Linked DNA regions of Mus musculus. The protein of the gene in region 2 interacts with the protein of the main gene of each other region in a pairwise test. Links are inferred from orthologs where the notes say so. Each region holds a gene or a part of one and is shown on either strand. Other genes may lie near its edges.

Region 1 (3,658 bases), on a different chromosome or scaffold from region 2:
GAGAAGAGGGTCAGGGAGAAGAAATAGGTGAATCCCTGAAGCTCATTGGCCAACCATTCTAGCCCAATCAATGAATTTCAGGTTCCTTGAGAGACACCTCTCAAAAATAAATAAATAAATAAATAAATAAAGGTAAGGTGAGGTTAATATAAACCTCTGGCCTCCACACTCATATACATACATGTGCACATGCGCACACACATTTACACAAGAACACCCCAACAAACACATAAAGATGGATGACACCCAAGGTTGTCCTCTGCCCTCTACACAAATGCACTTGAACACACATGAACAAGCACAACAAGCACACACAGACACAAGAAAAATAGAGAGAAAATAAAGGAGATGACAGAGTGGACAATAGGATAATAGGATCCCAAGCCAAGCAACTAAACACCTGTGAGAGATTCAAAATGTATAGTTATAGAATCATGTAATTTTAAATAAAATCTCAAAGACCACCAAACAGCACAAAAGAGAAAATGGCACTCTATACCTGTAGCGCAGGAAGGCGACTCTGCTGATTAGCAATGACTTTTAATGAGATCATTCCTTTGGTTTCCTTCTATTAAAAAAGAAAAGAAAAATGAAACTGTAGCAAAAACTTACGGGGGGTGGAGGAATAGGGTTTTATAAAGTCAGGGTTTTCACGACAGAACCATTTTTATAGTTTAAGATTTGGTCAGATATTACCTCTTGAACCATGAGATTGTCATGTACTTCCCACACCAGCATAACTGAAGACACAAAAATAATAATGCAATAAAACATTGCAAATATTTACAGTCACATGTTTCTTTTGGTTTTTGGTTTTTCTATATAGCTGAGGCTGGCCTTAACCTATGATCATTTCTGCCTCAGGCTTCCAAGTCCCATCGCAACTGGAAGTAGATACAAGTTTAACTTGTTATTGGCCTCCTAAGAGCTTTTATTATAGGCATGAGCTATATTGCATTCAGCTTAACGATTTATTTTGTAATTTAGTTACCATAATTACAGCTGATCATCCTCTCTTTTTTTCTTACAATTTAAATAATAAAATATGCATAATATCACATACAAATGTTTTCAAATTATGTATATATCATATGACTAACATATGCATTACTTCACAACTTATTTTTGTTGTGACAATACTCAACATATATTCGCTTAGGACTTTTCAAGAATATAATCCGGATCACAGGGCTCCCAATGGAGGAGCTAGAGAAAGTACCCAAGGAGCTAAAGGGATCTGCAACCCTATAGGTGGAACAACATTATGAACTAACCAGTACCCCGGAGCTCTTGACTCTAGCTGCATATGTATCAAAAGATGGCCTAGTAGGCCATCACTGGAAAGAGAGGCCCATTTATAGGCAAACTTTATATGCCCCAGTACAGGGTAACGCCAGGGCCAAAAAGTGGGAGTGGGTGGGTAGGGGGGTGGGGGGGAAGGTATGGGGGACTTTTGGGATAGCATTGGAAATGTAAATGAGGAAAATACCTAATAAAAAATATTTAAAAAAGACAAACTGAAAAAAAAAGAATATAATCCGGTGCCGGGCGTGGTGGCACACGCCTTTAATCCCAGCACTCGGGAGGCAGAGGCAGGCGGATTTCTGAGTTCGAGGCCAGCCTGGTCTACAAAGTGAGTTCCAGGACAGCCAGGGCTACACAGAGAAACTCTGTCTCGAAAAACCAAAAATAAATAAATAAATAAATAAATAAATAAATGGTTTGTTGTATTATTTATAGTTCCATGATCCCCACCCATTCCCAGCCCCTGATCAGCACCATTCCACTCTCTACTTCTACAGGTTTGCCTTTCTTGATTCTACGTATATAAGAGTTTACGTGATGACTATCTTTCTGGGTGTGGCTTATTTATATAATGTCCTCCTGGTGCACCTATGTTGTATCAAATAATGGGATTTCCTTTTTGTATAAGACAGGACAGCATTTCATAGTGTGTATATACCACATATTTTTAGTTTATTGGACTCCATAGCTTGGCTATGATGGATTGTGCAGTAGTAATTGAGCAGATTTTTAAAAGGTTGGTCAGTAGTTTTTTTGTTTCTTTTGCCCAGTTTTCTATTTGGTTTTGTTTTTAAAATGAAATTTAGATTTCCCCAGAATTATTAGCTCTTTTCTGATGTACTATCTTTTTAGCTTATGCTCATTTGCAAGTAGTTCAATGTCAGAGGCCCACTTTAAGGGCCAAATTTCTGACATCACTCCCGGTACTATGATATTACTGGGCAGCCCAGTAATAATTAGGTAGCACATTCAAAAAGGGAGTTTGAAAAGTTTCATGAAGGACATTATTCACACAGGTATACATATCCTCAGGAAGAATTCTCTCCCTTGTTGGATCTTTCGAGGATGTCCACACCTGTGTGAAATTGGTACCTACAGGAGCAGATTCGTCAGGTAAGAGAGCAAGCACATAAATACCTTTAATAACTGCTTGCTGAATCTACTGAAGCCCAAGTGATCTAGAAACTAAAATCAACCTACTGACATGTAAGACAAAGTTAAGAAAGATGGCAAAGTATCAGGAGGGGCAAACAGAAAGGCAGCATAAACACCAAGCAGAATCCACATAGTGGATTCTGAGACTACAGACTGAGAGAAACGAATCCACCTGCTCAAAGCCATACAGCAAGAATAAAGTAAAGCAAGGATTCAGAAATACCAATATACACCACAATCTCCAGATACCCAGGGCAATAGTCTTGTTTTTTTTTTATGAGATTGATGCTCTCAAGTTACTAGCCCTGCTTTGCAGTTTTAGTAAATGAAAGCAGAGAAATAATATTTCTTAGACAGAATATCAGAGGATCAGAAGTGATAAACACCCTCTCAATAAGATAACCATGCTTTTGCAGAGAAATGAGATACAGTGGCACCAGTTCCCATATACCTTTCATGAACATAGAAGATAGTATTTGTCTGGTGCAGAGAATACCCACCATTGCCTTCTGCAACTGATCTACTGAGTGATTAGTCACATTTGTGCCATTGATTTCTAGGATCTCATCCCCAACATGAAGGGAGCCTGTCATTAAACAAACAAACAAAAGACTCAATGCATAAAATAATAAAAAGTCAAACAAGAGCTGTTAGTATAGCTCAAGAATACCACATAATCAAAAATAGAATTTAAGGCATTTTATAAAATAGATAAAATTCAAATAGTAGAAGTATTCAACCAGGAGAGATAAAAACAAATTTGGTTCTGAATCTATCTAGCACAGTTCAATACTGCCTCATCCTTTTTTATTTCAGTCATCCAAGAGCTGTCTGCGTAAAAGCATCTCATCCTTGAATTCCTGGAATTAGAATAGCTGCCAACCCCAGGAGACTTGGACACACATATACACATTAAAAAGAATAACCAAGTCAGGGAAAAAGATCTCAGTACTCCCAATTATTCAGTGAGATCAATGTTTCTTTGTTAAACACATGTTCTTAGATGGTTAGTCAATGTTAAAATTCTATGTGAAGGATGGTTACCAAATTCATGTCACCTTGGATGAATAAAAAACATAGTTAAACATAAAAGGGTAGGACATAATGAGGAAGGACACTCACTGGAGTAGCCATAGCCAACATTGGGAATAGTTTCTAGTTTCTAATACCATTTAGATTATTACCAGCTGCTGAAAAT
Region 2 (3,134 bases):
TCATTCTGCCTCTGACTTAAAGCTCCTCCTTGTCCCCTGCCAGCCTTCTTTGGGATCCTTGGGACCTCAGTAGGGCTGTCTGTACCTCTTGGTCACCTTCATGTTCTTCACTGTCTCTCTCCCCCAGTCAGGCTGTTTCTCAGCTTTCTACCCTTTGCCCCTCCTCTGCTTTCTAACCTGCCTTTCCCTGCCTGTCTGTGACTGGAGATAGGCTTTGGGTGGTAACTGTAGCTCCGGGGCCTGTGTCTGCTTCTGAGCCAGCCAGCTGGGTTGTTCATGGACATGTCTAGAGCTGTTAACAGAAGCCCATCAGTTTGACTGATCTTCATAATCATTGGCCTCCCAGGACTTATAGTTTCAGTCTGTCTTCAACATTATCCTCCTGCCTTCTGCATGGGAGTGTATGAGAGCAAATGCTCAGAGAATGGATTTACTTATCCCACTAGAAAGGTCCTACTCCACCTGCCAGGCAGGACCCTAAGAGAAAGGTTGCGAGAGCCCAGCCCACTTCCCTGGCAGGGCAGCATGTCCCTCCCAGGTCCTGGCAGACAAAGTTGTAAGAAGCAAAGGTCAGGGATAATGAGCCTGTCTCCTCCCCATCTAGGCATTGATTGATTCCTGTGCATCCCCTGCCTCTCTGGCCAGGGATCCACATGTGCGCATGGTCACACTCTACGACAATGAAGAGGTATGTGGAGGGCTGGGGCAGAGGTCCCTCAGTGGAGTAGTCAGTAACTGCCTGGTGGCCCACACTCAGAGCGAGCCAGGGCATTCTAGAGGCCCCAAAGAGGGAGGAAGGAGAGCTGCCAGTGCTCCCATAGCACTTGTTCCCTCCTGGCCCTGCATAGATTTTTATAATGGATTCCATAGCCTGTATTCTATGTGTACCTTGCTGCATTCCTACCCCAAGGATGGGGCCACTACACAGGTCATCCTTTCAGGTCTGTGGCTTGGCACATAGCGGGTTGTCAGCTATGTTGTTTAGCTGTAATCTTGAGATGCTATAGTGGAGCTTGACAGGTAGATGTTCTCTTTCATGTAACTCCCTGGGTCAGCTAGTGGTTTGGATAGGTCTCTGGTCTATTATGCTAGTTGGCTATTCCATCTCTGGCTATCATGTCTATACCCAGTCAGCAGTAAAGGAGAGGGCAGAGAGAATAGATGCCTTTGTCTTCAAGAGTGTGGTCTGGAAATGGAATTCATTATTGCTCACATTCACAGAACCCAGTGTGGCCACATTCAGTTACAAAGGAAACTGGGAATGCTGTCTCTAGCTGGGTAGTTAGTTATATAGCTTTAACACCTGCCTAGCCCTGGGTGTAAATGTGGGGGACCAGTGTGGAAACCTCCATCAGTAAATGCTATTTCTAGTCCATGAATGACTGGGAATTAGTCTGGCCCTAGTCTACTGTCATATGTTCAGAAAGGAGAGTCTCTAAGGATACTTCTCTCTACCAAGTGACTCAGGTGGATCCCGGGCCATCCTGAACACTTTTACAGTCCAGGCGCATGTCCAGATTCCCACAGTCAAATCTCTGCCATCTCCAGGTGGGGTCAGAGAGTGCACAAGGAGCACAGTCCCTGCTGACGGAGCTGATACTACGGCGCATCTCAGCCTCACCTCAGCGTCTGACTGCCTTCGAGGAAGCCATACCTAAGTCCTTCATGATCAGTGCAGACATGGCCCATGCTGTGCACCCAAACTACTCGTGAGTCTTCATACCAGACAGTACTTATGCTAGAGACGCGGCATAGCCCACTTGCAGGCTAGTTCCTGGGCCTGCCTTTCTCCATCTGCTGGGAGGTTCAGGAGTCTTCCATTTGATTATTCCAAGGCCAGACTTATGCAAAGCCATGTGTTGCCTAAGCCGGGTGTATATATTAAGTAAGCTTTGTCTGTGACCTTGCTTCCTTTCATGGCTAGAATCTGCCTGAATCGTTTGTTCTGATGCCCTTGAGGACACGCAGGGCTAGGTGGGAAAGAGTGCCATGATCCATTAGTGCCATCTGCCTTGGAAGGGGTAGTGGCTGTTGACAGCCCCCACCACAGTGTGCCATCCTGATCTTTATCACCTCTCACAGGGACAAGCATGAAGAAAACCACCGGCCTTTGTTCCATAAGGTAAGATGCTGCTTCTCAAAGATGTGGCGGCCTGGCCGACTCTGGCCTCTGTGGTTCACACAGGCCTCACATCATCTCTGTTCTGGGACTTTTGCCAGGGTCCTGTGATCAAGGTGAACAGCAAGCAGCGCTACGCCTCTAATGCAGTGTCTGAGTCCATGATTCGAGAGGTGGCTGGCCAAGTTGGGGTGCCCCTGCAGGTGAGTGTGCATCTTTTCTAGGAAGGCTTGGTGGAGGGAGCAGAATAAAGACATAAACTGATGAGCTCCCAGTAAGTGAGGAGCATAGGAGAGAGACTTTAGTGGAGGGAGTCCCAGTGAATGAGAAGATCTGGGGTTTGGGGTGCAGAGCTAGATGCAGTGCTGGCTTTGTTGTGGTGACTTTGGCCTAGTTTGCTAAGCTGTCTTGAGTTTTTGTGTGCCCATTGGTAAAGTGAGGGTGATAATGAGCCCTACCCTGCTGATCTCTGTAAGGATTACTCCTGCCACCTGGTAGGTTAGTCCTGCCCCTTTTCCTTCTATAACCCCATGTCTCTGTGTCTTTCTTTACTTTTACTTCAACCCAGAAGGAAGATTCAGGACTGGTGAGCCTAGAACCCCAAGTGTTCATTTTCCCTCTGGCCTGAGATCACCCATCACTGTCCTTAGGGCACTACATGAGTACACACACTCCACATCAGAGACTTGGCCCAGGCCAGTCCATCGATGGACAACACCCAAGTTCTGGGAGAGGCAGGACCAGACAAGGGCCGTCTCTGCATCAGTGTCTCCATCTTGTCCCATGTAATGTCTGATCATTCCACTCACAGAGAGGTCTCTGGGAGGAAGTGAGAGGCAGCTGCTGAGAAACAAATACCATGGGGAGGTCCAGAGGGCGAACATCTCAGCCAGAGGGAACAAACAGAAAGATCCCCAGGGGGAAAAGGAATGAGTTAGTCTAGTAGCAGAAGAGAAGGCCCAAGTTGAGAGCAAGAGGGACAGGAGAAGAGACTCACCTAGACCAGTTTGCTTCT

What was found.
Region 1: the proteins of Dnpep (region 2) and Mpp1 interact in binary tests that used the Homo sapiens proteins (3 or more experiments, as listed by UniProt). The two-hybrid records come from large-scale screens. The link is inferred for Mus musculus from reciprocal best matches to the Homo sapiens genes DNPEP and MPP1.

What each region holds. Positions count from the first base shown.
Region 1 is NC_000086.7:75,120,936-75,124,593, forward strand, and holds part of Mpp1 (55 kDa erythrocyte membrane protein), read right to left. Parts: intron 3,047-3,658; coding exon 2,961-3,046; intron 569-2,960; coding exon 500-568; intron 1-499. UniProt on the Homo sapiens protein: Essential regulator of neutrophil polarity. Regulates neutrophil polarization by regulating AKT1 phosphorylation through a mechanism that is independent of PIK3CG activity.
Region 2 is NC_000067.6:75,310,980-75,314,113, reverse strand, and holds part of Dnpep (aspartyl aminopeptidase), read left to right. Parts: intron 1-604; coding exon 605-688; intron 689-1,548; coding exon 1,549-1,709; intron 1,710-2,082; coding exon 2,083-2,122; intron 2,123-2,220; coding exon 2,221-2,322; intron 2,323-3,134.